3 linked regions of the Astyanax mexicanus genome follow. The protein of the gene in region 1 interacts with the protein of each later gene in a pairwise test. Links are inferred from orthologs where the notes say so. Each region holds a gene or a part of one and is shown on either strand. Other genes may lie near its edges.

The links.
Region 2: the proteins of tpp2 (region 1) and polb interact in binary tests that used the Homo sapiens proteins (3 or more experiments, as listed by UniProt). The two-hybrid records come from large-scale screens. The link is inferred for Astyanax mexicanus from reciprocal best matches to the Homo sapiens genes TPP2 and POLB.
Region 3: the proteins of tpp2 (region 1) and ppp1r16a interact in binary tests that used the Homo sapiens proteins (3 or more experiments, as listed by UniProt). The two-hybrid records come from large-scale screens. The link is inferred for Astyanax mexicanus from reciprocal best matches to the Homo sapiens genes TPP2 and PPP1R16A.

What each region holds. Positions count from the first base shown.
Region 1 is NC_064428.1:8,695,130-8,706,229, reverse strand, and holds the start of tpp2 (tripeptidyl-peptidase 2), read left to right. Parts: upstream 1-5,903; 5' UTR 5,904-6,013; coding exon 6,014-6,178; intron 6,179-9,683; coding exon 9,684-9,812; intron 9,813-10,049; coding exon 10,050-10,145; intron 10,146-11,100. UniProt on the Homo sapiens protein: Cytosolic tripeptidyl-peptidase that releases N-terminal tripeptides from polypeptides and is a component of the proteolytic cascade acting downstream of the 26S proteasome in the ubiquitin-proteasome pathway.
Region 2 is NC_064419.1:255,496-266,688, reverse strand, and holds the start of polb (DNA polymerase beta), read right to left. Parts: upstream 4,422-11,193; 5' UTR 4,274-4,421; coding exon 4,213-4,273; intron 3,015-4,212; coding exon 2,957-3,014; intron 2,859-2,956; coding exon 2,792-2,858; intron 2,665-2,791; coding exon 2,590-2,664; intron 2,128-2,589; coding exon 2,069-2,127; intron 1,978-2,068; coding exon 1,928-1,977; intron 1,842-1,927; coding exon 1,790-1,841; intron 1,339-1,789; coding exon 1,284-1,338; intron 963-1,283; coding exon 890-962; intron 406-889; coding exon 335-405; intron 1-334. Other genes in the region: enkd1 (enkurin domain-containing protein 1), read right to left, coding at 5,736-5,896, 6,234-6,370, 6,575-6,717, 6,859-7,011, 7,149-7,321, 7,719-7,946, 8,125-8,209; vdac3 (voltage-dependent anion-selective channel protein 3), read left to right, coding at 9,883-9,983.
Region 3 is NC_064422.1:19,168,897-19,179,458, forward strand, and holds the start of ppp1r16a (protein phosphatase 1 regulatory subunit 16A), read right to left. Parts: upstream 4,445-10,562; 5' UTR 4,311-4,444; intron 1-4,310. UniProt on the Homo sapiens protein: Inhibits protein phosphatase 1 activity toward phosphorylase, myosin light chain and myosin substrates.

The sequences.
Region 1 (11,100 bases):
ACTGTCCTTTAAGAAAATGTACAAGAAGCCACAAAACAGTGGAAAACCATGGATTACTAGAGGAATTGAAAGAAAAATGTACTTTATAAGATTTTTTAAAAACAAAGAACAAAATAAGCAGAAAACAAATATAAGACCTATAAAAATAAATGAACAAGTATTAGGAGAGATAGAAAAAAGAAATATTATCAGAAATTATTGGAACATCACAGGAATAATACTGTGGAAAGTGCTAAACAGCATAGTTAAAACATGTTTGGGAAAATTTTGTAAAAGAAGATAATACAATTTTACATCAAATCAAAGAAATTGCCGACAAATTTAATGCTTAGTTTGTGAATGTAGGACATAACTTAGCTAAAGAGATTGTAGAGCCAAGAAATATGCATGGAATAAATAAAGATATTATTCATAAAAACTCTCACTCCATTTTTATTAGGAGGACTGAGGAAAATGAAATACTGGATATTGTTAACAAATGAAAAAACAAGAAGTCCACTGACTGGAATGGAATAAATATGTGGCTGGTAAAAAAAAAAACTCATAAAGTGTATTATAAAACCTTTTCCTCATATCTGTAATCAGTCACTGCAAAAAGGTATATTTCCCCAAGAATTAAAACCAATGAAAACTGCAAAAGTCATTCCTATTTATAAAAGTGGAGACAGACACAATTTCTCTAATTACAGACCAGTTTATCTGCTTTACCAGTTTTCAAAAATACTAGAAAAAGTATTTGCTCATAGACATTTGCTCATAGAGCATTTTATAAAAGAAAACAATGTATTGAGCGATCACAAGTTTGGTTTCAGATCAGATAGGTCCACCTCGATGGCAGTGATGCAGCTAGTAGAAGAGAAAGCTACAGCAATAGACAAGAAGATATATACAGTGGGGGTGTTTATAGACTTAAAAAAAGCGTTTAACACTATTGATCACTATTTATTAATGAAAAAGTTAGAGAGATATGGTATTAGGGGAATAACATTCTCATGACTCAATAGTTACCTTAATAATAGATACCAATATGTTCAAATAAATAATATCAAGTCAGATTTTCTGAAGGTTACATGTGGTGTGTCACAAGGCTCAGTGTTAGGACCTAAATTGTTTAATCTGTACATAAACCATATTTGTAAGGCATCTAAAGTGTTACAATTTGTCCTATTTGCTCATAATACCAATTTATATTGCTCTGGAGAAAACTTGGAATGGCTTCTAAATACGGTAGAAAGAGAATTTAACATCTTAAAGAAATGGTTTGATGTTAATAAGCCATCATTAAATTTAAGAAAAACATAGTTTATGATCTTTGGTAATCAACAAATAAAAAGAAAATAAAAATTATGATCAATGATATTGAAATTGAAAGAGTGTATGAAAATAAATTTCTAGGTGTGATAATTGATCATAAATTATGTTGGAAACAACACATAAACCATGTAAAAACAAAACTGGCCAAAACCATTGTAATACTCTATAAAACTAAACATATTTTAAATCAGAAGTCACTATATTTACTGTACTGTTCCTTCATAGAGCCGTATATGACCTATTGTGTGGAAATATGGGGAAACACATATAAAACCAATACAAATCCAATTACCATACTACAGAAAAAAGCTATATGACTTATTAACCAATCAAACTGCAACAAACCAACCAATAAATTATTCATTAAATTACATGCTTTAAAATTCTGTGATTTAGTTGACTTTAATATTGCACAGATAATGTACAAAGCACAAAATAATTTACTCCTAAATTGTATTCAGGGGAAATTTAAAGAGAACAACTATGAACTTGGGGGAATAGATATATTTAAAAGAAATAGAGCAAGGACAAATATGTAAAACAGATGTGTATCAGTCAGAGGGGTAAAGCTGTGGAATAAATATAATGAATATTTAAGAATGTGTAGTTCACTCTATAAATTTAAAATAATGTTTAAAAACAGGGCAAATATATAAACAAATATATAACTGATAAATGAGCTGTCTATATATTGTGAACTTTCAAATGATTAATTATTTAAACCTTAATTTTCTTTTTTTTTTGTTTTTTTTTGTTTTGTCACAACATTTTATTTACTACATTTATTTACTGTATATATGGTAGGCAAAATAAGCTAAAGCTTCAGCCTATGTCTTTTCGGCTGTTATTGATTTAAATGCAAAATACAGGCTGAGATTTTTTCTTTTTTTCTTTGTCTTTTTTTCTTTATTATCTGTTTTTATGTGTGTAAAACGAAAAACTAAACTAAAAAAAAACAAATAAAAATCAGTGAACAGCTTTTTCTACACCACAGTGAAACACTACACACTGATGGAGTAAACACTCCCTTTAATTCCCCCAACTTTACTTTAAAGCTTTTCAATTAATAAAAAATGAAAGAAATATTTTAGTCATATTTTAAAAGAACCAAGTGTCTTTTTATTATGATGTAAATCAGAATTTTAATATTTTTTACAAAAACGTAGGTCTGGTGGTAGACAGTAAACATATTTGTTTGTCCCCACTGACCATCCTTACATATTTATTCCTCTTTTTAAATATAAAATTACAATTTCAATACACTCCCACAGTTTTTTCCAAACCCGCCACACCAAATAGTTTACCCCCTATAAAAATAATAATCAGCATTGAAGAATTTCCTGAATTATCATTCAGGAAATTACATCATCACACTTGTCTCTTGAAGGACAAACTGTAAATGGGCCATTCCACTGAATGGGTGCCATATGCCTGTTATAACTCTTCTGAATTAAACTCATTTTTTTTAATAACACGTGTATTTAACTATTTAAAACACATCAAAATCAGTTTTACAAGGTTTCTAATCCGAAGATGTTTACAAAACTCATGTGACATTTAAAAAGCATGTTTAAAAGCAAGTCCACCAATTCTTTTGATTTTCTCTCAAGAAACTCTTTATTTTAAAGAAATGTTTGAGAACATTTTATGACATTTGTTATGTTATAATATTTATGATCAAAAAATCACTGCTATTAATGCTGAAACTCCTGTTACTTATTATGGCATAGAATTAGCAAAAACATGAAAAATAGTTAAATGGCGGCTGTGCTAATAGCATGAGGACACTGAGCACATTCTAGTGATTTTCCCAAAATTTGTATTTTAAAAATAAACAAATAACATCTAAGAATGAATTTATGTAACAGGAGTGTTGAGATTGATAAGATCAAATACACAGAAAAACTAATGAGGAAACTTAATTCTGGTATTCCCATGATCTTCAGAAGAACCAGCTGATGTCACTTCCTGTTGTAGATGTGACTTCCTGTCGTAGAATGTTCCAGATGTTTCAAATGGGGTAATGTGTTACGGTAAAAGAACTGAGTGAAAACCCAGGAACATAACTAAAATGTGTAATTTCACTTAAATACTATGTTAAATAAATTATTTAATATTATTATTAAAAAAATATTATTTAAGCATAGATGAGATTTGGAGTCACACAACAATGCAAAAATTACATCTCTGAAGGACTTTAATAATTATATTTTATGGTAAAGTTTATAGTTAGAGAGTGGGGACAGGTAACTAATGCTATTTTTTTGTGTTCTATGTAGTTTTTATTAATGTTTTTAATTACATATCTTACTTTGGCAATTAGTCAGTGTGGATAACACTAAGTTTAATAATAAAATGTATTTTAAAGTTATTTTGTGTGCACATTTATACATACCATTTCCTGGGGGCAGAAATGGCACTGATTCAGTGGAATATGCCAAATAACCTTTCAGGAAACACACTTTTGTGATACGTTTAAAAAAAATGTAAAAGTAAAAAGAGGTGATTCTTATTTTTCTCATGCAGCTGGGGTTCCAGTTCTTTTAAATAAATTTAAAGGTAAGGTCTTGGAGATTTCCCCTTTTAGGGGAAGGAAAATAAATTTTAAGGGTGTTAAAACTGAGTAAAACAACATTTTGATCTCTAATGTTTATGGGCATAATCATAGTCCTGTTAATTTGAATATGTTTCAGGAAATCATTAAAATTATTTCAGACTTTTAAAAAAAACAAGTACATGGCCACATTGTTGTTTTTGTTAGGAAGTGATTTTACAGTTTTTTCCAAATGTTTAAACGCATTTCTAGAAACTTGGCTCAGTTTCTTAAAACTCTAAACACAAACTGAAAATGATTAACTGCTCCACAAATCTCTAGCAAGATGTAAATCGTTTTTTTCTTGAGAACTGGCATAATAAAGGAACAGAACATGTGCTTGATTTATTTGTACCTACTGTACCTTTATGAGTAAACACCTTTAAATGTCAAATCTCATTTAAAGAAGTGGTGAAAGATGGATGACTGTTTTTAGTAGACAATGTTTAGAAGTGTTCTTTGGCTTTTTATATATACAATATAGGACAATCATGCAAAAAAAGAGAAAAATCTAAGCTTTAATTCAAGTGTCTTTATTTGGTGGGGGAAAAAATCACACATTAAGAAATAAATATTTTAAATGAAATCATGTGTGCCACAATTATTGGCAGTGCTGGTGTTAGTACTTTAAAAACCTCTTTTTGCCAAGAAGCAGTTATAGGAGAAGATTTTTGCACTAAATCCTCTCCTATAACTCTTTACAAGATGGGAAAGAACAGAAAGAGGGATATTTCACCATTCCTCTTTCCACAACCTCCCTAAATCCTCCAGAGTCCTGGGTCTTCTCCTATGCTCTAATATTGGGGTAGTTTTTCCAAAATAAAGAGAGAATAAGGTAAAGAAAGAGGATGGGATTTTGTTGCCCAGAGTAAGATCAGATCAGATGATCAGATACCCTCAAAAATATTTCATTTAAGTTAGAGCAGATAATGGAAAATGCAGCTGTGAAGTGTTTTTGATATGTAAAAAGGATGTTTAAAATGAAAGAAACCTGTTCACTGTATATAATAGTTTGTGTGTCTGACTTTTGGGAGACTTTTGTTTTTTGGAGAGAGCAGTGTGACTGCTTTCGTTATCACTAATGATGCACTAACACCTGGAGATTATAGACTAGCACATGCTTTCTCTGATACATGTGAAGTCAGACCCCACCTCTTTTCTAACTGCTTTACCGAGTAGCCAGTGCTCTCGGTTCCTTAGTCCACTGGACCACTCGGAGCATTATATAAATTTAATGTGTAATTAAAGACGTTTTTTCAATTTATTTTTTTCATAGATGGATGGATGGATGGACGGTATGGTATAGATGGGTGGATGAATAAATGGATAGTATGGATGGACGGTATGGTACAGATGGGTGGATGGTATGGTATGGTATGGATGAATCAGTTGTATGGATGGATGGATGCTATGGTATGGTATGATATGGTAGAGATAGGTGGATAAATGGATGGATGGATGGATGGATGGTATGGTATGGATGGATGGACAGTATGGTATGGATGGATGGATGGTTGTATGGATGGATGGATTGTATGGATGGATGGATTGTATGGATGGCTGGATAAATGAATGGATGGATAGATGAATGGATGTATGGATGAATGGATGGACTTTATGGATGGATGAATGAATGAATGGTATGGATGGATTGTATGATTGGATGGATGAATAGATGGATGGATGGTATGTATGGATGGATGGATGGATGGTATGTATGGATGGATGGTATGTATGGATGGTATGGATGGATTGTATGATTGGATAGATAGATGTATAGATGGATGGATGAATAGATGCATGGATGGTATGTATGGATGGATGGATGGATGGATGGGTTGGATGGATGGATGGATGGATGGATGAATGGATGGATGTAGGGTATGATATAATAACTAAAAGCTGGTTTGTTATCTGAGGGCAGCACTCTGCTATAGAGGGTTAATAAAGCCGGGCGGACGCGACCCGCAGGGCTGCTGCTGCTCCTTTAAGACTCCGGCTCTATACCGGGGTATCCGCGCCGGGCTTTCCGCAGCTCCACCCTGCCTCCCCCGCTTCTCTTGCCGCTGCCGCTTATTGTTTTCCTCCGTCACCCCCGGTCGGGTCATGGCTACTCATTCCGTAGACGAATCGTTCCCTCTGCACGGGCTGCTCCCCAAGAAAGAGACCGGCGCCGCTTCTTTCCTCACCCGCTTTCCGGAGTACGATGGACGGGGCGTGCTCATCGCCGTCTTGGACACGGGAGTGGACCCGGGGGCGCCCGGCATGCAGGTAAATGCGAGAGCGCGGCTTCAGGAGAGAGCAGGCCGCAGGGCTGGATTCAGCCTGCTTATTTAAACACACACAGAGAGACAGCACGGGCTCAGCTTAAAGCGTGTAAAACACGGGTTTAGCTCCAAATGCGCCTAAAACGTAACAGCGTTTCTGATTAAACTGCCTGACTGACAAGATAACTAGTTAATCTAGCAGCTAGCTGTGTCATCCTTAGCTTAGCCAACCACTGACAAGCGATGCTAACCGAGGAACTATAGGCTGTAATGTTAGCTTAGCTTAGCTTAGTTAGCTCTATAATTAAGTCTGTCAAATATTACTAGTTTTATATTGCTGTTTAGATTAATGTAGACACTAAACATTTTCCTATAGCAATCTGCTTTAGCCCAACAGTACACCAGTAAAACAAGCTTTAACCCTTTATACAGGATTATACTAGTAAAAACTCAGATTCAGAATCAGTGTAATGTTATTTTACTGATCTAATCTCTTATTTCAGAGATCAGCTATCATGTTTATTAGCTTGTAATCTAATAATCAGATTTACAGATCCATAAAATCATTCTGAATAGTCATAGATCACTAACAGCACTTTCATATAATTATCAATAATTGTGAAATTCAGGTTGTGAGGAAACTGAACTAATGAATGGTACAACATATTTTGTTACAAGATCCAAACATTTAAAAATCTATATTTTTCCTGAAATTCTTCTTGTACCAAATGAAAAAGCGATAAAATAATTCTTTATTAATCCCACAGTGGAGAGGAAAAAAAACAATATCAAGAACTATACAAACAATATAATAACATCTATATACACAGGAAAATAAAGGTAAGAGAATATAAAATACTTTAAAAAAAGTATAAAACTAGGAAAACTAAGATTAGAGGAAACATGAGTTCCCTGTATGTTTGACCAGTGATATTTCACATAATCTGACAGTAAATAAATAGCAAATCTGTTACAAAATCTTAATTTTTTTCTGAAATTCTGATTGTGAGAGGAAGAAAGGAAAACTTGAAAATTAAGTAAAAAAAAAAAAGTTCTTTTTACTATTCTTCATAGAAAAAAATGATATAGAAAAAAACAGGTCAATAAAACATTCTAAAAATACCGTACATAACTATAATAAAATGTACTTTTTACTTACATGTAATTTCACTTTCTCTTTTATCTAAATTACATTTTTACTAGAATAAACTCCAATTATGAATATCTGTAATGACTTGTATCTAAAATTTTTAGATCCGTGTCTGTAAATTAGTTCTGAAGAGTACAAATGCAAAAAATGCCATTAATATGTCGTTAGTGAAGTTTAATATAAGTTGTGTATGGATCTGTCACAATAAGATTTTTTTGTGGAAGATGTATCATTCTAGAGATTATTGCAATAAACAGTATTGTTGTCATGCGGACATAATAAAATGTATAGAATAGCATAACAAAGCATTCATAACCTTGAATCATCAGTCACAGTTATTGAATCATTGGCTAAAATACAGTTTACTGTTATGTATATGAACAAAAATACAAATAAACCTAGTGGACGATATTATGATTATCCAAAAAATATTGCTGTCATGTTCATTAAATTCCATGTTGATGGTAATATATGCGTAGCCAGAATTATATTTAGAATATTTGGGCCTAGGAATTTAAATAGTCAGAATAGATTTATAGATCTGTACATTATCTGTATAACTGCTGTCATTTTAGCCTAAATGACTTTTGTTTTTGTTTGTTTGTTTGTTTGTTTGTTTTATATACTGACATCAACTGCTCACTACCACACAGCAGTAAGTGAAGCTGCATTAGCATTATGACATGGAGATAACAAACACACGGTTAGATCTGAATAGTGCTACATTTCTTAGCCTTTATAAGTAACATATCACTGCAAATAATGTTAGCTAGAACCAAAACTGAACTGGTGACGCTGTGAGTGATGGGTCTCATGGTGAGGGCCTATAAAACAGCCGGGCATGAACTCTACAAGCTCTGGCACCCGCAGCTGAAAGAGGATCAAGCACCTGTTGCCAGATTTCACCTCAACTGCCAGGAGTTCTGCTCACGCTTTCCTCTTTCTCTCAGATGACCAGGCGTCTCTAAAGTGCGCCACGTTTCCCCTGAACCCTGCTGTAGCTATGGGGTCCTGTGGCATTGGGCCCTTGGTACATATTTATTTAATTTAGTGGTGTATTTAAGTAATCACCTAGGCAGTGTCTGAAAAGTGCCCGAGATTTCCCTGCAAAAAAATCCAGATCAGGTCCAGCATGTGCGGATGGGGTTTGGAGGTCATGATGGTTGAAAAGCTGCTCATCCAAAAAAAAAAAAAAAAAAAGCATGCCCAGTATTGGTAAGCTTGCTGGTTAACCAGCTCCTGAAGAGCTTAGTGTTTGTTGAATTAGTTTCGGATCATGCATGGCCATGCTGGTTGAGCTGATTAATTACATTTTTAAACTATTGCAACAAAATAAGTATCAACATTTTATTTAGTATAAACAGAACAGTTGAGTCTATTCAGTGAGAACCAAAGAAAATCTATAATCTATTTTGAAAATAACAACTTGACTCTCATTTTGTATGCAGTAATAATATATATATATATATATATATATATATATATATATATATATATATATATATTTTTTCCCCTTCCTATCTCTATCAGTCTTGCTTTCAAACTTGTTTTCTATTCCTTTTTTCCCCCCTGTTATCTCATCTTCCCCCAATTATCCCATTTTCTTCATCCCCCAGCACCCTTCCCCAAATCCCTGTAATTGTAATCCCCCTTAACTATACTCACAAAAAAACACACAAAAACAGAAACTAGTAACTGCTGTAATGTGTACATAATCAAATAAATAAACAGTAAAGTACTAATAGTCCTCCAAAGAGGGGGGGTGGTGGCGGGCCAAAAAAAAAAAAAGTAATAATAGTGCAACAAAATAAAAAGTATAAAAAATGTCAACCACAAAAATAAAGCTTGTTTAGTGCATGTATATGAATTGCAAATTGAAATTTAAAAGTAAGTACAGTAAATAACAAAACAAATACAAGACAGACTGCTTTTACAGACTGTATAAATATCTTTTATAATCATGGCAAAAATGCTTGCAATATTATTACGTATTATACAATATGGCACACGTCTACTGGCTAGGTCAGGTTTATCATGCTTGTAAACCATCAAAATTTAACAAAAAACGACCCAATTCATCTCAAAATCATTGTTTTTTAGAAGGATATATGTTAATATTGACATTTTAATTAAGTATTCATCACCGTAAGAACAGAAACAGTGTCTCAAGTAAATGGTTACATACACTTCATATACTCTTCAGGTTTTGTGTATAACATTTCTAGATTAAAGTTCAATCATGTAAACAATTGGCTCATATTATTGAATGATCATTGGTTCCCCAACCTTCATACATGTGTGTGTGTGTATATATTTGTATATGTAAACTGATATGAATTATAAACTTTTTCTTTTTCAGACCACAACAGAGGGGAAGCCCAAGATTGTGGACATCATCGATACGACCGGCAGCGGAGACGTCAACATGTCCACAGTGGTGGAGCCCAAGGATGGAGTGGTGGCTGGGCTGTCTGGACGCACACTCAAGGTTAGAGTCTGTCCGTCAGCGCTGATCGAGAAGACTACACACCCTTTCACCATTTATTTCCTCACTCTATTCTCACATTACATCACTCTATACTGAAACCCAATCACTACAGTATTCCTGCTGCACCGGTCAGGTTTGCACAAGAGCTAACATGTTAGCTTTGGTTTCATTCATCCATTTCAGTGCACTGGTTTATCTACTGCTTACCTTTCAAACTTTATTCTCATTTTTCTGCAGATCCCTGAAGCCTGGGTGAATCCATCAGGGAAATATCACATTGGAGTTAAGAACGGTTATGAGTTTTTCCCTAAAGCTCTCAAAGAGAGAATACAGGTGAGTGTCTTTGTACAACATCAGTTCTAAAAAAGTTGTGATACTCTGTAAAATATAAATGAATGTAAATTTAATGATTTAGAGTAATTTGTTCACAACAGAACATAAAACAAATATCAGATGTTGAAAGTGAGACATTTTACCGTTTAATGAAAATGTAAATTCCTTAAAAACTTAATGACCGCAACATATTCTAAAAAGGTAGGGTTTGGACCATGTCTACCATGTCTATCCACAGACCTGCCAACATGTACGCATTTAGTACGTATATACGTATATAAGTACGTATATCATTTGACCTCTTTTTGCCATGTTGTCCACAGTTTGTCTGTGTGAGGGAGTTCACAGCGGCTCATGCTGTCGTGCTGGCCAGTTAGCATGAATGCTAATCCAGCAAGCTACTTATCGAGCCATCCGCTACTTTCATCAATGCTTCATTTTCCTCCATACTGTCAACACACAGTCACTGTGCTGAAGATTCTATGTCGCTCGGCCCCCCTTGTCGCTCGGCCCCCCTTGTCGCTCGGCCCCCCTTGTCGCTCGGCCCCCCTTGTCGCTCGGCCCCTGTGTCGCTCGGCCCCCGTGTCGCTCGGCCCCCATAAACTACCCTGGTGTATTATAATACAATTAAAAAAAGGCTCTAGTCTAGACCTAAACCACACTGCACTATTATTACTGTCCCCCTCCCAATAATACAGCTAAATACTAGCATTTAAAAAAAATAGTCATGATTTTTAATTGATTGTTTATTTAGTGGAAGATGTGGACTGTAAGCAGGGCAGTTCAACACCCGGACTCTTTTTCTTCAAAGCCATGCTGTTGTGATAGATGCGGTATATGGTTTAGTATGGTCCTGCTTGGATTATACAAGCCCTTCCCTGAAATCGGTGTTTGCATAGGGGCAGGTGCAGCTGCAAACCTATTCGACAGTATAAAAGGCTTAAAAGAAGCTGAA
Region 2 (11,193 bases), on another chromosome or scaffold:
AGAACAAAAGAAAAAATGCATTAACCTTAATAGTTAAGAGTAGCTGTCTTTAAAAAAAACTAAAACTTCATTAAAAACAGTTTGAGTAAAATATCAAATAAATTAATAATAAAATTACAGTGCAGAATTTTGCCGTTTGCCCATTTATAATCCCATCAACACGTTTACACTAACTAATCTGGAGTTTGTTTATTTTTTGTTACAAAGGAAAAAGAGAGACAAAAAGTAATGTTTGTGTCTGTGTAAACAGAAAGTTGCTTGCTCATATCTGAACTAATAATTAAGGATTATTATTATTATGCATATGATAATTTTTGCATAAGTAAGTGCTTACTTGTTTCTCAGACTCTGAAGTAAAGTCCGGGTGAGTCAGCAGGATATCAATATCACCACTCGATTCCGCGCCTGAAACAGAAGCATATCATATACATGTTCATCAAAGAAAAGCTACTCTTAAATACATGGGTTTATGCATTTTTTTGCTCTATTTTTATTCTTCAGCCAAAATTGCTTCAATATTTGGTGGAATAATCCTGGTTTTTAATCACAGTTTTTTTCAACATGCATCTTAGCATCATGTTCTCCTCCACCAGTCTTACACACTGCTTTTGGATAACTTTATGCTGCTTTACTCCTGGTGTAAAAATTCAAGCAGTTCAGTTTGGTGGTTTGATGGTTTGTGATCATCCATCTTCCTCTTTATTATATTCCAGAGGTTTTTAATTAAGTAAAATCAAAGAAACTCATCATTTTTAAGTGCTCTCTTCTTTTTTTTCGGCGCTCTATAACACATATTTACACTGTTTTCCATCTGTTAGCAAGTAACTATGCAGCACATCAACAATCCATAAATAACTATTTATTTATGTAACACAGCAAATGAGCAAACCTCGTCGGTAGCTGCCACAGATGGTGCCAATGTACTCCGAGTCCAACTCCTCTAATTCTTGTAATATCAGAGCCTGCAACATAAAAAACAGCACGTTAATACATTAATATATTACTACAGATACTACTAATACAGATCAGACTGTAATAGGAGCACCCAGTCCTGATCCTGCAGATCTACCACCCTCTAGTGATCAAATCCAGCACAGCTGACGGTCATGTAATACCTGCCTCACGCTGCAGGATTTTATAAATACTGGTATTAACTGGTGTTAAAAACATGAGAGAGCCACACATCAAGACATTTTTCACTGGATTTTCTGCCTTTAATCACTATTAGTGCTGAAATTAAATAAACAGACACTTTTATATTGCCTAAAGGAATAATGTCCCACCTCCATTTTCTGCATCTCTGAGCGGGGAATTCTCTTCTCAAATTCTTCAAAGTATCTTTAGGAATAATAATAAAAAAAAAACATATCACTTTTTAATCCAGATATTGTTGTATATAGTCGCTGTCAATGAAAAACACTTATGTCCATTTTTTGTTGATTTTTAGTTTACTAAATAATTTAAACAGAAAAACTGTCTCTTACACTGTGCTAAAATGTTTTGATGAACAGACCAATAGAAACTCTTCTTCAAAATGACCTGAAATAAACTCTTTTTACATTGACTTCCATTGAAAGTTTACAAGGTTTTTTTTTCTCTCTCCTGTAAAGTTGCTGTTTTGGAGATAAGTGTTTTTCATTGGACAGAGACGATATATTGCATATATATTAACATAAAAAAATGCATATAACATATACACACAAACAAACAGTTTTACTATAGCAAATTAATAACAATGTAAATATGGTCTAAAATTCAAGGTCTTCATCTAATAAAAATTAACACTTACTTAAGACCAATTTGCTGATGGTGATTCAGTTTGTGCTCAATTTTCTTCAGATCTGAAATAAAGTTGTAAAGTTTATAAAATTGTGATCAGAACATACAAAACAGAAAAGGACATAAATACATAATCAGAGAAACAAACCTTCCAAAGTTTTTACTCCTTCCTCAAAGAACTTTCTAGCAGCAGCCGGGCTAATAAGAAAAGGAACAGTAAGATATTAATACATACTTTATTACAGATTATACAGAGAAAACTGTTATATAAAGGCAAAAATCCACATACCCGATTCCAGTCACTCTAGTTAAAAAGTTAATAGATGAGCTGGTGTCGTCACTGCGAATCTGGAGAGGATAGATGTGATAAACCGGTACAGATGTGAATATGTTTTACAGAACTGTTTTCTGCTGTTCTAACTGATAGAGTCTTACACAAAATGTTTTTAAAAAGTATTATTGGGTCATTTTGTACACACAGTGGTTTAAGGTCTATGCACACCTTTTCTCCTTCTCAGCTTTAGCCTTTGGTTGATAAGATTTACATTTATTAAATATAAAAACAAATACACCTTTAAAACACCTTAAGACTTGATAATAATGGAGATTCTCTTTGTGCAAGTAAGTAGACCTTTAAATCTTGAATTTCACAACTTCTCTGAACTGCCACTTTCTGATAAAACACTGCAAAAACTACAAAATAAAAACGGATTTCACTGATCAAATCCATTTTTTTATACTTTAGACACTATGAAGATAAAAACAGCTACTAACAATGTAAATACTACTCCAGTATTTAAGAGGACTTACCTTCTCCAGTTTACGGAGTTTCCCTGTGGATAAAAACTCATCTATTTTCTCAGCGATCTTTGCACCAACTCCATCCTGAATGAGGAATGGGAGAAAGATAATATCATTCAGATTATAACCACGATGTCCTCATAAATTCTGATTTCCTTCTAATAAAAAACATAAAAATGTCAGTAAATGATTAAGGAAAGTTAAAACGTACCAGCTTTTTTGCTTCAGTGCCACTTTTGATTTTTTGTGGGTATTTAGCAATCACAGAGGCAGCTTTCCTAAAGAGAAAGGATTAGGAGTGAATTAAAAACTTAAAAGCAACACTAAAAAAAGACACCAAGAGCAGAACTGCTGTGATTAATCAACAATGCATTACCTGTAGGCGTTGTATTTATGAATGGCCCTGTTGACATTTCTTTCATAATTGGCCAATTCTAAAAGAGAGAAAACGTCAGATTAGAAGAGTAACTTAGATTTTTACACATGAAGCTCTTCGGTAACACTGATACTGATCATCCTGAGTGAATTCTGACATTATTCCTAGAGTATAATGTTTCAAAACCAGTTATGAAATTGTTGTTATGTGATTACAGTGTTACATCAAGATTGTAGTATTAAAATATTTAGTCATGTACCAAAAGCTGCTCACTGAATTTAGCGTATCAACTAGCTTTCTTGTAAAACACATTCACAGATATGATCAGAAATCATCGGAGGGGATTTAAACCCAGAGCCCAGACTGCTGACTGGATTTTACTTTCTGCTCATTTCACCCACAAAAAAGTATTAGTTAGCTAAATAACTTAGTTAGATAATTATGTAGATAGTTTACAGTTGTTTACATTTGAAAGGGGAACCTAATAGATTCATAGTTAGTCATTTTTCTTTATTATCCTAGCAGGCTAAGCGAGCTAATCTTAGCTTGTTATAAATAGTTAGCTTCCTCAGGCCAGCTAATGAGCATTAGCCAACATTAACATGAGCTAAACTGCAGCTTAGAGTTGAGCTAAATCCATGGAATAAGACATAAAAGCACAATAATAATCAGATATTGTAGCTAAATATTTTAGTATCAGTTTATAAGAGTAATAAATAATAGTTTGTAAGAGAAAAGTCAGGACAACAGCAGCAGGAACACTTAGCCGCTGCGCTAACTAACATTAACATTAGCGTTAGCTAAGCTAACCCTAGCTAAGCTATAGCCGGGGTGTTCTGTCGAGTTACGCTACCCATCGATACGTGCTTCCTAAAGGTACTACGCATGCGCTGTCTTACACTTTTTAATCATTTCTCATGTTTTTTTTTTAATAATAAATCTTTTTTGTGTACATTAAACAACCTTGACTCGCTGTCACTGCACAAAAGTGTAACACAACAATTAATGTTATTATTATTTAAAAAATGTATACATACAAAACCTCTCATTGCCAGAATTGTATAATAATACAATGATTTATGCTATCCAAATATACCAACCTACATCAACATGCTCTAAAATAGAGCTTATTTTGTATTTTTACAGTTAATTATACACTAGGGTAGCACGGTTTCAAAGGGTAGCACGATTCGACAGAACACCGGTCAGCTCCGTGCTCTCCGTGTTCACTGTGTTGGTAAAAGAGTAAATCTTACCGATGAGAAAGTCGGTGATTCCCTCGTTCAGGGTCTCCTGCGGGGCTTTGCGCTTACTCATGTTTATCTGCGGGTCTGTGCGGTGTTTATCTCGGGGTTTATTCGCTGTAATCTGTACTGTGGGGTAGTTTGAGGGTGAAACGCTGGAGACAAAGCTGTGGGTCTGCAGCTGCTCTCCACAGATAAGCCCCTCCCACTACTTACACGTCACCACTAGACTCGCCAATTGGGACAAAGCGAATCTACATAATGCAGTGTATATATATATATATATATATATATATATGTATATATACATACAGTATATATACATATATATATATATATATATATATATATATATATATATATATATATATATATATATATATATACTCAGCTCTGATACATCAGCTCACAGACGCAGCCTTGTGCTGATCCACATCACCCTAGGAGTGATCAGGGGAAAGAGAGCGAGCCATCTACTGTACCCACCCAGAGAGAGTAAGGACTAAAGTGCTCTCTCGGGGCTCCGGCAGCTGATGGCAAGCTGCATGACTGGGATTCTAACCAACAATCTCCTGATCATAGAGGCAGCGCTTAGCCCGCTGGACCACACGAAGCCCCATAATTAACATTAGTTAATGCAATAAGGTCTAACCATCGTTCATGTTTTTTTTTTACTTGAGGTCAAAATGTATGTCTAAACTATATCAAAAAAAAGAAAAACTGCAAAACTGTGGACATTTGAAGATTAGTAGAATTTGTGGCTGTACTGCATTAGTAAGTGAATAAAAAAGGGACAAAGCACCATCTTCAAAATCACATGAAATATTTATTCAACTCATATAGATCACACAGATCAAACACATCACACAGATCACACATGGATTCCTAGGCAGCACTATGTAAAAAATAGTTTGTTTGTTGTTATTTATGTTATTAATAATATATATTATTTAAATTAATATTTTGTTAACAACAAAAATAACATTGTTTCTTTACCATTCCCACAGTTTTAACACTAAATAACATAATTTAAACTAGACTGCAGTACATATGGTAGATTATTTTTTTAACCCACCTTTTTCTATTCTACCCCATTCATTATACTGTAAAAGGCACAGTGATTTAAAACGGCAAAATGGCAGAAAATCATTATATTGAAACGTCTTTAGCTGAAGCCACTTAATGAAAATATAAAAGTTCCAGAAATCACAGAAAATATACATTAAAAATCAACACTTGAGATTTTAAATGTATTCCTTAAAATTACATTTCTGAGTGATGCCATAAATAAGAAGACAAATAATGCACCTCTCAGAGTTTAACACAAATTATGGCAATTACATTTTTGTTATATTGATATTAATTAACAGTGAATAGATTCCTCTTTCAAATACAAACTTTAACTAATGCTTTGTTATTTAATGATTTATTTATTTTAGAAATATATTTTGTCTATCAAAACACCTGAGGTTCAGTGTGTTTGATTATATGTGATAAATGTGATGGGTAAGTAATGAACACTGTAATTGTGTTTATTAAGAGTCATTTTTTACGTAGACTTTATCACGAGAGAATATCTTGATGGCCTCCTCCACTTCAGACAGACGCTGGTCCAGCTCTGCTCGGCGTGATCTCACGCTCACCGTATCCGCCCTGACCGGCAGAGAGAGCAGCTCACTCACCAGAGACCTGTGATCTAAAGAGAGAGAGACAGAGTTTAGCCCAAACCACAGAGTCCTATAGTACAGTAACAGTATTGAATACTATACAGTATTTACATGTACACATTACTGTCCATTACATATTTACACAGCTAATTACATATCTGCATACTTGCACTATTTTCATGGTTGACATAAGTTGACTTTTCTCTGTTTAGATACTGAAAGAGTTGTCTATTTTTAATATACACACATTTTAATCTATTAGCTAATCTAAATGCTTTTAATCTATTTAATCTGTTAGCTAGCTTAATCTCTACACGGTAGTTGTCTACAGGTCTAGCTGTAACTAGAGCTTTGGCGAAAACATACTTTCTCTGAGTGAATTTAGAGTTTCTCTCCTCTCTCTGTCGGACATCTGAGTGTGTCCAGCAGGTGCAGACGGGTCAGGAGCGTTCCTCCGTCTCTCTTCTGCCTCTCTCCTCCACTGCTCCTTTCTTTCTTCCAGACTAAAACAAAGGAGAGAGAGAGGAAGAGAGAAGCAAAAATTAAAAAACATACCAATGACCAATCACACACACTGATATGGGCAGATACTGTAAATACTGTAATAAAGAGACAATGCTCCAATCATGCTTCTGGGTTTGTTTTAACTCTCAGTCAATATGTATGTTCTATGATCTGTGTTAAATATATTTGATATGATCACTCACTACTGGGGGACTCGGCCCTTCACTGCGCTCGGCGGCTGCTTGTTGTTCAGGTCCTGTAGAGACTGAGAGCGTTTCAGTGCGGTCTTTCTCGCAGCGCGTGCATTATGACTCACAAAGTCAACAAAGTGTCCTCTCACCTCCATCTACACCAGGAGATATCAGATATTCATTTTTAATAACATGAAAACACAGTTGTATACGAAATTAACTGCATTCGCTTCAGTTATAAGCAGTTTTCTATAAACAGTGTAAGTGTGTATGTTTATAGGAATGTGTGAGTTTACCTCTGGATCTGCTGTTTGAGGTTTTTGCCCGTTTTCAGAGGGTGATGCCGACACAGACTGAGGCCGACTAGGTTGAGGCCGACCCCCCGCCCCACACACAGAGTGAGCTCTTAGGAAGTTCTGGCATTCTGCCTTTTTGGGGTGGCTTTTTTCCTTCAGACAGAAGTACAGAAAGAGATAACACAAGCACACAAAGTTTATAAACTATACAATATACATTACTCTATTACTATACATTAATGCTGAACAACAATTCCATTCAATTCCATCCAAAAAAATGAAATACTTACTTGTAACTGGGCCATGACCCTGGAGGGGATGTCCTGGTATTTGGGAGAGCTCCACAGGGCTTTGACAGGAACCGGCTTTGCTCGCTCTTTCTGCGCCTCCTGCTCACGGAATCGTCTCTGGATCTCACGCAGCCGTCGCACGTTCTCTTTCCCATAATCCTGAGCTGCAGGTTCTGAGGAGAAAAATAAGAGAGAAAACTTAACATGTAACTTCTTTTGTGAAGCATTTTTTTCCTTTTTTTGAGTTTTTGTTGCACCTTAAATGCAGACACAGTTATATTAATATTCAGAGTAAAGGAAAATCAATCCATTTAATTTTTAGAATAAAAAATCCTTTTTAAAGTGATTTCTGATACTGAAGTTGTGTAAAAGTGTGAGAAGCACAGCCGATGTGTATGTTTTATTACATGTACACTGTTTTTTGTGTTATGGACTGAGCTAAACCTGAAATTGTAACTGAAATGTACCTTAATGAATTGATATTGAATCAAATAGGGATATTTTAAATCAGAATTGATGATTTACAGTGGATTTAGTAAATCAGTGGTGATCCCCAGCTTTAAATCTTACTGTGTTTAACAGGGGGGGGCTTCAGGCAGACTCCCTCCAGTTTAAGGAGAGCCCCCACCTCTCCTTTCTGGCTTCTTTCTAGAATGTGTTTGGCGTTTGGGCCGATGCGAGGAGGAGGATGAGCGGGGCGGGCGCTGTAACAGCCTGGATGCAGAGCAGGGTCTGGGGCTAAGGGTCCATTTAGAGTTAAAGATCCACTTTTAGAATTCCCCTCCAGACGACCCCGAGCTTCATAGACAGGAAACATTACAGTACATAACATTACATTAAGATAAGACACAAAGGAAATAAATGATTGATGAAAAAACTGATCACAGTCACCATCTGACATCAGTATGAACACAAATACAGTTTTAGAGATGTTTTATTATGGTGTTGTTTGGTGAAATAACTTCCAAATCCCTACCAGAAGTAGGTCGTCTGTAGTATTCGGGGAAGAGGGAGGGGTCTGGTGGAATGGGCCCAGAGATCATCGAAGGTCCTTCACACATGATTTCTCCAGTCCCTTAATTCCTAAACCAAGAGTTACAATGGTAGAAGAACATGATGAGGACGGTACCTAGAGAGCAGCGTCTGATCAACACCAGACTATAGGAGTTACAACACAAATATGTTTACAAGTAGAATAAAACTAAGATACCACTGTACAAAGTGAATACACACACACTTCAAAAACTAAAATCTGTTTAGTATGAGGGTATTTTTCTTCTAAATTTCATCTTGTGTTCAGTACCAGTCTGGACACAGGCTTTCTCTTTGAGTTCAGATCTGCAGACTCTTGTTTTTTTTAATCTCAGTATCTTCATGATTTAGAGTCACCTGGAATAGTTTTCTCAGCATCTTGAAGGAAGGAGTTCCTGGAGGTGCTGAACAATAGCTGCTGCTTTTCCTTCACGCTGTGAAGCTCCAGCTCATCCCAATTAAATCACCTCAAATCACCATCTCAGATCATCAGCTTTAGATCAGGAGATTAATGTGGAGGAATAACACTTTTTTACTCTTTACTACAGAGTTATATATATTAATCTCCAACATACATTCAAATTATTGAATAAATACATTTAATAAATAAAGAAAGACATTGAATAGTACTGTTTATAATATTTATCTAATATATTTATTATAACATATAACAATGCACTATACTTATATTCTCGGGGTTAATACGGTGTTAAATGTATATAGAATAGATATAATGTATATATAACAGATAAAAGCTAGCTGTGTGAGCGCTGTGCTAAACCGCGGGTCCGGATCAGAATTACTCAGCGGTGTATAAATTAACCCTGAACCCGGATAACAGTAGGGCTGATTAATAACAGGCTGATTAATAACAGGCTGATTAATAACAGGCTGATTAATAAAGTTACCTGTAATTTAAACGCGTTTTCGGTTCAGTCCGTTTTCAGCCCCGTAAACACACCGCCTGATGACGCAGCAAGCCGAGTCTATCTCCATGGCAACGGCTTAAAGACACAGCGCCGCTTTTCCCCCTCTTTAATAATTATTACATTTTTAAAACATTGTAACAGTTTTATTTGCATTAATTGCGATTAATAAATGTTGCTTAATGTTAAAAGCGGTAACATTAACAAAGATTAAAAACACAACAAAATAATAATAAAGAAATACTTTAATACGGAGCCCCTAAGGAGACATCATGTTAAAAATAATAATCAATTTATTTTTAAAAATGATGTAACATGATGTCACATTGTGGGCTCCATACATTTTCTTTATTTTAATATTATAATTTTATTAAATTGTAGATCATTGTAGAAAACTATCATCTAGGAACTAGGACAATTTTTTTAAGATAAAAGTAACGTTACAAAAAAAGCACCATATTAGAAAATACTCTCAGCAAAAGCGTAGGTAGGATATGTGGATAGGCTAAATCACTGTATAAAGTAAAGTCCAAAAGTGAATGTCATATACGTGATTAGAAACTATATATTTTTATTGTTTTACTGTTTATTTGTTTCTTTTTTCTTTAGGAATTCTAGGAATTATCGTGACATAAACATAAAACATTATAAACATTACCATATAAAAATGTTGCGGTAAAGAAGCACATATTGATAGGTAGCATAACTCGACAGAACATCGTTTATTCCTAATATCTACTCGGGATCGGATAGGCGGGAGAGTGAGAGGAGTGCGCATGCGCGGCGCGTCCTGCCCTCTCCGCCTGTTTCTCCTTCAGTGTGTCCTCCTCTCTCAGAACCGGAGTCCCGCAGCCCGGAGACCGGAGACCAGAGCACGGTAAGAGCCCGAGCAACACCCGCCCTGCGTCTGCAGAGGGTTTACTGTGCAGGCCTGCAAACAGACAGACAGAGAGATATAGAGAGACAGTCAGAGAGAAAGACAGGGACAGGAGGACAGGGAGACAGCAGGGCTCTTACCGAGGCCGCGCCACCGTTACAGCTCCCGTACTCCTGCCCCGTGCACTAACCGAGCTCAGCCCTGCAGCGCCTGCAGGTTCTCCGGTTCTCTGGTTCTCTGTGCGCGTGCTGGGTGTGCGTGTGAATGCTCACACTGCTTATTAAGCTTAATTATCTTATTTATTTTATTTATAGAGATTATTTGTGTAGTATAGTACACGATATCGCTGCTATAGTGTGAGATAAGAGGTTTATTCAGGGCCTGCCTATCTGCAGTCTCCTGTTTTATATTTGACAGCTGAGGTAATTTATTAATTTATTCGTATATAAAAGCTCAACTCCACAAAAACACGCAGTGATATTTATCTTTCTCTGCTCCTGTTTATTCTCTGATGTAACGGAGAGCAATTAAATAATCCCCCCCTCCTCCTCTCGCCTATTAGCCTATTGTGTGCATGCAGGACCGGTGTTGTGTCGATTTTTGCTACCTTGTCAAACCGTGCTACCCTAGTGTATATTTAACTGTACAAATACAAAATAAGCTTTATATTAGAGCATGTTCGCAGTGAAAGTCCCAGTAGATGTAGGTTAGTATATTTGTATAGCATTAATCACTGTATCATGGTAAAGTTAATTTAAAGGCAATGAGAGGTAATTTACAAAACTGCTTATGTATTTTTTATATATATATATTTTTTTATAATTATTAACTTCCTTTTACACCTTTGTGCAATAACAGTGAGTTCAGATTGTAACAGATTAATTGTAAAAAAACAAAAGCACGAGAAATAATTAAAACGCGCTGGTTAGCGCATGCGCAGTGCCTTTAGGAAGCACGTATCGACGGGTAGCATAAATCGACAGAACACCGGCCCTCTATGAAACAGCCCAGAGCTGCCTCTGATACTTTACTCACAGTAAACTGCAAAATAACGTATTATCTGAACGTTAGAATATATTTTACATATAAACTATATGTACATTATTTGGGTCTTTTTATTCTCTATAGCTACGGTACATGTTTCTTGTGAGCATGCGCATTACAGTGGGCTGTAAAAGAAGGACAGCAGAGCTGCTGTGTGTGTGTACAA
Region 3 (10,562 bases), on another chromosome or scaffold:
ATTGCTCGCTAAACCATTCCAAAGCCGAGGGAGGTGCAGAGAGCCTCCGCAGATATTCAGCTGGAGATTAAACTACTGGGCAGGGGTTCAAGGGCCGGAGGAATGAGGGTTGAGCAACGTTCTCTCTCGCTCTGTTCTCTGTGATTAGGCCAGAGTTGTTGCTTGGGGTTGTCATTATGAGGCTGGTTCAGGTTGAAAAATTTCCTGTCATCACTGAGCGTCTGATAAAAAAAATAATAATAATAATTGAGAAGTGGTTCGGCCAAAAACGCAGCCATAATAAAGACTGAGCGATAAATGAGCAGCAACAGCCACAAATTGGTATCACACGAAGGGTCCTCTCCTCTTTGGCTGCATCCGAAAGCCCGCATTTCTCAGCGGCTATGCCAGAGAAGGCTGTTTCAAAGTGAAGGACCTTTCATCTACAGCTGAGATATGCAGCCGACATTCAGAGTGATTTCGAGGACACGACTAATGTATTCACAACCGTTGATTACCCACTGTTTTCTGTGCACGTACAACACAATAAGGGGATGTTTTATTTATTTATGTAAATAGTAATTGCATCCCATTACAAACCATGATTAGACTGTTCCCTATTTATGACCAGAAAACTTCTAAAGCCCTATCCGGACAGAATTAGTTTTTCAGAGGGTCCTTGGGTAATTTTCTCTTTTATGGGGGTTCCTCTGTGATTTTATTCCTATCCGGATTGACCTCTGAGAAAATGACAGGTTGAATTCCCTACAGTATTTTAAGTCCAGCCTAGACGCACATCTCTGAGATTAGTCACCTTACGTTTAATAAAACAGCCATTTGTCCACTGCCAGGCACCATAATTACACTTTGGGCACGCGTTTCCACGGAGATCCACGTAAACACAACAGTGAGTGGAAATGGAGGAGCTACTGAACGCTTTATGTCATGTGACCGAGAAAGCCCCCCCCCAAAAAAAAAACCTCACTGGTCTAACTAATCCCATCCAGATAAGGCTTAACACGGACTTAACTTGTTACCCCACTGCATGTATTTTGTGTTTCATTCAACAAATATACATAGAAATATAAAGGAAACCCTATAATGCGTCATTTTCTTTTGAAGACACATGCAACACTTTTATTTCTTTACTTCATACATCAATTTAGCCGGTATCATTAGCTCTGGTTTCAAAGATATGACTATCAACATGCTTGCCTATTATGTTCTATTGCAAAGCAATAGAAGCAAAGCAATCTAGAACCATAGCATGTGCGGTCTTTAAACAGACCAAGACAAAAAGGTCAGTTTGTGAAACTTCTGCCCTGCTAGATCTGAAGCAACAACCCAGCCACAAAGCAGCACACCATAAACATAGAGCAGTGTCAGAGTGCTGCAGTGTTTACCAATCAGAAAGACATTTTACACAATTATACACTTCTGATGTCACAGAAACATTTAAGGGAAGACCTTTTCTGATCCAGCATGCCTGCACTCCACATGGTGTGAGAATAACTGAAAAACTGTGGAGGAACTCTAAACAGAGCCTTGACCTCAGCCTCACTGAACACCTTTAGGGATGAACTGGAATGCCCACCGCAAGCCAGGCCTTCTAATTCAACACCAGTGCCTGACCTCACACACAATTTCCACAGACAAACTCCAACGCCTTCTGGAAAGCCTTCCCAAAAGAGTAGAGTCGATTCAAGCTGAAACGAGACGGCACTCCATAATGATCTCCCTGTCGCTGGAATAAATTGCTACATTTCAACCCAATGATTGAAAACATTGTTTATACTGTACTGGAGGCCTGTCAACCTACACACTGCAGCCAGTGGCATACAACTCCACAATGAAGGAAAAGGAGGCCTGAGAGGAAGAGGAAAGAAGCTAGGGAGGAAGTGAGTCAGCAGGGCAAGGAAAAAGGACGGAGGATCAACAGTCCTGAGGGAGGAGAAAAGTGAACCAGAACATTAAAGTGAAAAAGCTGAACAGCCCGCAGGCTGGCGACTTAAACCTAAACATGTAGATCATCAAAAACAGTGACAAATCATGCTTTTTGACAGTGCCGTGATGGATTTACTGTGCTTTCAGGTCCTTATCCCAGTCAAACATAAACTTTTCCTGTCTTTTAGGGTGTAAAGACAGCTTCCTCCGCTGCATGCAGTCTGAGGATTCGAACAGCAGTCTTATATATACACACACGTATATTATTATATATTAACACGTGACAAAACACTCGCTCTGTACACCTCTGTCCTATAAAAAGCACTGAGAGGGGTTTAGCAGTTGCTGGTGAAAATCTGTGCTGTGGTGCAATGGCCATAATCTGCTGAATCTGAGATAATGAGTGTTTATATGCCCGTGTGTGAGACAGTGTGTGTGCAGAAGGATGAGTTTTTCTATATTTGTGGGAACCACGTGTGGTAGGATTGTGGTAGATCAAAACTGACCAGTTTGTGAGGACATTTGATGTTTGCCAATCACACAAAAACACTTTTGGAGTAGAAAAAAAACTCTACTTACAAATATCTTAAAGAGTGAAATGATTTATGTTTGATTACCGATGATCAACTTCACATACGTTATATGCCACTTTTGCCGGTCACAGATCTGTAATATTGGATTCTTTAGTATTGGATTCTACCAGTGAACACTTTCCGAATTGCTAAACAATAACCTTTTAACTCAAAATGCTGTTTAACCAGTACATCTCCGACCACTTAATCGCAGCTGTCAAGAATGTGATCAATACGTTAAATTTATTACCATCCCAACCCAAGTTTTATCACTCAGGAGAATTGTGTTTTTTTTTTGTTTTTTTTTTTTTGTTTTTACAGGCGTGTCCCTGAGAAATTATTATTATATTACATTATATTTACTCATTACACTTTTGCCACTGACAGATCTGTAATATTGGTTCCTTTCGTTAATAAATAATTGAGCAAGTCTATTTTTTGTCTTATTTTATTGATAAATATTTTTTTGTCTACTTTAAGGATTATCGTGATAAGTTTTGGGACAAATTTAGGTAACATTTTACAATAAGGTTTCATAAATTAATAGTACTTATGACAGAATGTCTTGACTGATTATTTATTAACACTAGGAAAGACATCCTTTTTCCTTTAAAATTTTTGGTAGGACTGTGGAAGGACATAAGAACATTTGATATTTGCGAACCACAAAAACATTCAAAATTACTGTAATTACAATTTTTACTTTTGATTACTGAGGTTAATGTTAGCATTATGATTTAGGAGTAGTATTAATTGCCACTGACAGATCTGTAATAATGGATCTTTTCTTCAATACATTTTTGAGCAAGTCTTATTTGTTTGAATTAATTCTCCTCCTACTTTTAGGACTAGTGTGATAATTTGATGAGGTTTTGGAATACATTTAGGTAACTAACGTTTAACAATAAGAGTACATCAAACATTTTAAAAGTCTAAATGTTTGTTTAATTAACCTTTCATTTAACACATGTATTTAACTGTACTTTAAAAATGGTTAAATGTTTATTCAAAACAAAAAAAAAACAGTTTTCTGTGGAAGCCCATTCCAACCACCTAAAATAGAAAAGCACTTTTTTATTATTAAGTAAAATGTCTCAATTCATCGATTACAGCGTTCTTGGTTTAGTAATGTTTAATAATGTCTTAACTAATTTAATTTAACAATTATCTGAGGCATTATTAAACCATTTAACAAATGTTTTAACGGTTATTTATGGCCCGTATTGTAATGCTTTACCCAAATTTAGCCAGAAATATAGAAAATGTTTTTTTCACAAACTTTTAACAGCCACTGTACACGACTTACTCACTACAGAATTAGGTAACTAGTTAAAAAAACACGTTTTAAGAAAAGAAAACTTAGTTTTGCTATATAAACATATTTTTACCCGCTCGCTGCTGACAGTGTATCCAGGTATTTTCCTCCGGCTCCGTTTATACCGGAGTACCGCCGCTCACCTCCGTCTACCGTTACCGAGCTTAGCCTGCTAATCAACTTTAGCCCCCGTACAGCCGCCGGGTCCTCCACCCGCAGCCTGACTGAATGAAACCCGTCAAAAAGTCCCTACAGGACGGTAAAAACAGCTGTTAAAGCCGTTGTTTTGCAGTAGTGGGTAATTCTGGTTGTCCAGTCGGCAGTGGGAATAGTAGTAGTAGTCAGACGGCGGTATGGAGAGTCGGAAGTGGCTAAAGCTGTTAGCTCGACACAGCAACCTGTTACAGAACCGACCTGAACCAGCCCACCTGCGCGAACACACCTCGCACCCAGCCGCGGGTCACCACAAACAGCAGGAGGAAGTTAGATAGGTGACAGACCTGTGGGAAGCTGGCGGTGCGGTGAATTCGGGAGCTCTTCCCCGGCCCTGGCTGAGTCCCGGTCGGCTGCGGGGTGTCTGCGCGCCGCGGGGGAAAAGCTTCTCCATAACAACCGGACAGGGGGAGGACCCGGCGCGGCGACACTGCAGCGGACCGACAGGGGGCTCTCAAACATCCTGACTGAATTTTATATACTATATATATATTACTAAATTATACAGTAATATTGTCTATCTGCTTATAATTAACACAGACAGGAAACAAAATAACGGCTTGGGCCCAATCCCATTTCTTTTTTGTTCCCTTCCCCTTGAAACAGAGTTAGAAGGGGACGGGTCTAAATCTGTCCCCTACGAATTGGAACAACCCTTCAAGCACCTGATACAGATTTGCAGGTGCTTCTCAAAAAAATATATGATTGAAATGTTACTTTTGGTAATTCAGTTAAAAATTTAAAACTCATATATTATATAGATGTATTACACACAGAGTCAGCCAATGAAAACCTAAAAATCAGTGTCTCAGAAAATTAGAATATTATATAAGACCAATTGGTACTTTTGACAGTGTGGGAAGTGTGCCAAGTCCTGCTGGAAAATGAAATCCTCACCTCCATAAAAAGTTATCAGCAGAGGGCAGCACGAACTGCTGTAAGATTTCCGGGAAAACAGTGCACTGACTTTGGACTTGATATAACAGTGGACCAACACCAGCAGATGACTCTCCAAACCATCACTCATGGATCATCTGTAAACTTTACATTTCATTTGGAAATCAAGAGACCAGTGTCTGGAGGAAGAGTGGAGAGGTACACAGCACAAGCTGCTTGAGGTCTAGTGTGAAGTTTCCACAATCAGTGAAGTTTTTATGGACTTTTTTTATGGAGATGCGGAATTTATGTATTACAGTGGTATGAAAAAGTTTGGGCACTTCTGATCATTTTCATGATTTTCCTTTATAAATCACTGGTTGTTTGGATCAGCAATTTCAGTTAAATATATCATATAGCAGACGAACACAGTGGTATTTGAAAAGTGAAATGAAGCTAGCTAACTAGCTGACTACTAAGACAAACAAACTGGCTATAAAAAGTTGAAACTACACGTTAAACTATGGTAATATAATGGTTATCGTCATTTTTAACAAGGAAATTATCGACTTAAAATTGTGGGGTTCTTTAGGTGCCCCTAACAAGAATCGGGCCAGCTTACCCCTTGGCTTGCAGTGCAAAACAAGGGTAGGGCTAAGTGGTTGGGCCTAGGGGTGAAATGGACTGGGCCTTGGTATCTCAAAATAATGACAAATAATGAAAAAACATTTTAAAATAATGACTTTCCTTAAACTAAGTAACTTAGAATCTTAAAATAATGAAATAACATTTTAAAAATGATGACTTAGTATCCCAATATAACTTGGTGTCTCAAAATCATGACTTGGTATTTCAAAATAACAAATTAATAGCTCATAATAATGACTTAATAGCTCAAAATAACAACTTAGTATCTTAAAATAATAACCTAAACACTGCAGCTGCGTCCCAATTGTGTATCACACAACATTATGGGTTTGTTTCCCAGACAGGGATTAGGCCTAGTCATAGACCATGGTCGCGTCTCAAAATAATGACATCTCAAAATAATGACTAGGTATCTCAAAATAATTAATTGGTATTTTGAAATAATGGAATAATTCTTTTTAAATAATGACTTAATATCTCAAAATAACAACGGAAAATAATGACTTAAACAGACTGTGGCTGTGTCCCAATTGTGTATCACACACTTCGATTTGTTGGTTTCCCAGACAGGGATGAGGCATAGTCATAGACTAATTTTGCATCCCAATTGTGTACTAATTACTGTCTAGTGTTTGAGTATGTAGTATGTTGTATAGATAAAAGTTGTATAGATGAAAGTTGAGTAAGCTGAAATATCCTTGGCCACAAGTGTAGACGATACAAATCCCCTTTTCTCTGCAGTAAAATTAGTTAATTACATTCTTAATACTTTGAGGGCTTTGGAGACTCCTACAGGACACTTTAAGAAGCTGCCTGATCACTCTCTACTTTACTTAATAATTTAAAATCAGTAACAGGAATCAACACAAATTCTTCATGATTAAAAACAGACATAATATCTTCTCATTATATCTTGGTGTCACAAAATAATAAAAAAACATATCAAAATATAGACATGGTATATTAAAATAAGGACTTGGTATATTAAAATAATTACTTATTATCTCAAATTAACGAATTGGGATCCAAAAATAATGAGAACATTTCAAAATAATGACTTACTATTTCAAAATAATGACTTAGTATCTCAAAATAATGACTTGGTATCTCAAAATACTGACTTGGAATATTAAGATAATGACTTATTATCTCAAATTAACAAATTGGAATCACAAAATAAGGAGAACATTTCAAAATAATGACTTACTATCTCAAAATAATGACTTGGTATCTCAATGTAATGATAACATAAAAAATGACTTAGTATCTCAAAATATTGACTTACATTTTAAAATAATGAAAAAACATATCAAAATAACGACTAGGTATCTCAAAATAATGAGGCAACCTCTCATACTAATGACTCAAATAATGACTCAAAATAACAAGTTAGTATCTTAAAATAGGACCTAAACACTGTGTCCCAATTGTTTATGCCACAATTTTTACATTTAACAGTTTATCAGATCCTGTCAGCTGTAAAATGTAAAAAGTAACTGTCCCTAGTGGATTGGTATACAGATTCATCAGACATTGACCTCAGGACATCCATCAGATAGGACCCCAAGAAAACTGTCAGATAGTGACCCTGGAGTATTTTTATCATGAGGCAAAATGGGTATTAGAGTGCAACTCCAGAGAGATCCATCAGAGGATAGTTCAGGATAAATGACTCATAAAATGACCTCAGAGTGATCCTTAGAGGTGTTTTTGGAGCAACCCACCATAGGGTGACCCCAGAGGGGTCAGTCAGTGAGTGATCATCTGCTGTAGGTGAACACACTGAAGTAAAACACCAAGGAGCTTAGTGGAGCAATTTACCAGGGGTGACACTACAGCCATCCACCAGGAGGTGCCAACTATTCATGGAGCAACACACTGAAGATATAAAACTGAATAAATTATATTCAAAGAATAATCCTAACAATAATTATCATGTTAATCACCATTATTATTATTGACAGTAATAGTAGACGTATTTGATTTTTATGATCGTTTTATATTCTATACATCCTTTTGTTTGAATGAAGTTATATACACAATGATCAAGCATACCTTTATGACCACCTCCTTGTCTCTACACTCATTTTTCATTTATTTTAGCCCCACTGAGCAAAAAAAATGAGACCACTTAAAAATGATGAGTTTCTTTAATTTTACCAAATTAAAAAAACTCTGGAATATAATCAAGAGGAAGATGGATGATCACAAGCCATCAAACCAAACTGAACTGCTTGAAGTTTTGCACCAGGAGTGGCATAAACTTATCCAAAAGCAATGTGCAAGTCTGGTGGAGGAGAACATGCCAAGATGCATAAAAACTGTGATTAAAAACCAGAATTATTCCACTAAATATCGATTTCAACAATATTACAATATTTCAATTTGGAATTTGTGAGAAATGTTGTCTGTAGTTTATAGAATAAAACAACATGTTCATTTTACCTATAAAAAGCAAAATCACAGAAACTGATTCAGAAACTGTAGTGGTCTCTTAATTTTTTCGAGAGCTGTATATTGTAGGAGCACTTTGTAGTTCTATAATTACAGACTGTAGTTCAGTGGGAACCTGATTCACTGGAATAGAGAATTGATAAGTGAAAGAGACAGAGACAATGAACAGGTCTTTAGAAATACGTTTTATTGTAAATAGGATACTGTAATGAGTGTGAAATTTTTTTAAGTTTTACGTAATCTTAATTAAATACAGTAAGATAACCCTTGTTTCTTCTTTGCTTCCCAGCTCTGCACACAAGACGATGTCCAGCCTGACCCCAGGACACTGATAACGCTTTAATCTGGAGATTACTCGAGCGTGCTGTCCTGTCGCTGCAGTGACGGACTGCAGGGAGGCGCTGGAAATGAACCATCCTGTTTTACAGGCTGTTTACTGCAGTATTACACTAGTGAAAGAGTTTCTTTAATGCTGATTAAATTTTATTTGATAGAAGAGTTCTGAGGGGGCATGAGAAGATTTCTTTTCTAACAATGTGAAGCATTTTCTGCTTCTTGTTGGAGCTACAAAGTAACTGGCACACAAATCCTAGGCTATATTTCTCGGCCCCTACATCATAGAGGACTGTTCCAAAGTGAAGGACCCTTTGTATACAGATACAAAATACAGCCGAGCTGCACATTAGAGCATATCAAAAATTTAAAAGTGTGTTGGCTACTTTAATATGTGCCAATTGCTATAATATGTGCTTGTTCTGTATGTGCTGTAGCTGTCCTTTTAGGCATCTTCACATTACGCTTTGCGGAACTCCAACTGTCCAAGTGTATTTTTGGGCATCTCTGAATGTACATTTGAGAGCATCTCCAAGTGTCATTTATGAGCATGTCCAAGTGTGCTTTGGCGCATCTCAAAGTATTACTTTGGGCATCTCCGAATGACCTTTTGGACATCTCCAAATGCTACTTTTTTACATCTCCAAGTGTCCTTTTGGGCATCTCCAAGCGTCCTTTTGGGCATCTCCAAGTGTCTCTTTGAGCAACCTTAAGTGTCCTTTTGGGCATCTCCAAGCGTCCTTTTGGGCATCTCCAAGTGTCTCTTTGAGCAACCTTAAGTGTCCTTTTGGGCATCTCCAAGTGTCCTTTTGGGCATCTCCAAGCGTCCTTTTGGGCATCTCCAAGTGTCTCTTTGAACATCCTTAAGTGTCCTTTTGGGCATCTCCAAGTGTCCTTTTGGGCATCTCCAAGTGTCACTTTGGGAATCTCCAAGTGTCACTTTGGGAATCTCCAAGTGTCACTTTGGGAATCTCCAAGTGTCACTTTGGGCATCTCCAAGTGTCCTTTTTGGCATCTTCAAGTGTGTTTTTGGGCATCTCAAAGTGTCCTTTTTGGCATCTGCCAGTGTCTCTTTGAGCATCCTTAAGTGTCCTTTTGGGCATCTCCAAGTGTCCTTTTGGGCATCTCCAAGTGTCCTTTTGGGCATCTCCAAGTGTCCTTTTGGGCATCTCCAAGTGTCCTTTTGGGCATCTCCAAGTGTCACTTTGGGCATCTCCAAGTGTCCCTTTTGGCATCTTCAAGTGTGTTTTTGGGCATCTCAAAGTGTCCTTTTGGGCATCTCAAAGTGTCCTTTTGGGCATCTCCAAGTTTCCTTTTGGGCATCTCCAAGTGTCCGCTTGGGCATCTCCAAGTTTCACTTTGGGCATCTCCAAGTGTCCTTTTTGACATTTCCAAGTGTCCTTTTTGGCATCTCCAAGTGTCCTTTTTGGCATCTCCAAGTGTCCTTTTTGGCATCTCCAAGTGTCCTTTTTGGCATCTCCAAGTGTCCTTTTTGGCATCTCCAAGTGTCCTTTTGGGCATCTCCAAGTGTGTTTTTGGGCATCCACAAGTGTGTTTTTGGGCATCTTCAAATGTCACTTTTTGCATCTTCAAATGTCACTTTTTGCATCTTCAAATGTCACTTTGGGCATCGCCAAGCGTCCTTTTGGGCATCTCCAAGTGTCCATTTGGGCATCTCCATGTGTCCTTTTGGGCATCTCCAAATGTCACTTTGGGCATCTCCAAATGTCACTTTGGGCATCTCCAAGTGTCCTTTTGGGCATCTCCAAGTGTCCTTTTGGGCATCTCCAAGTGTCCTTTAGGGCATCTCCAATTGTCCTTTTTGGCATCTCCAAGTTTCCCCTTGGGCATCTCCAAGTGAGTTTTTGGGCATCTCCAAGTTTCTTTTTTGGCATCTCCAAGTGAGTTTTTGGGCATCTCCAAGTGTGTTTTGGGCATCTTTAAATGTCACTTTAGGCATCTTTAAATGTCACTTTAGGCATCTTCAAATGTCACTTTGGGCATCTCCAAACGTCCTTTTGGGCATCTCCATGTGTCACTTTGGGCATCTCCAAATGTCACTTTGGGCATCTCCAAGTGTCCTTTTGGGCTTCTCCAAGTGTCCTTTTGGGCATTTCCAAGTGTCCTTTTGGGCATCTCCAAATGTCCTTTTTGGCATCTCCAAGTTTCCTTTTGGGAATCTCCAGTGTCCTTTTGGGCATTTCTAAGTGTCACTTTGGCATCTCCAA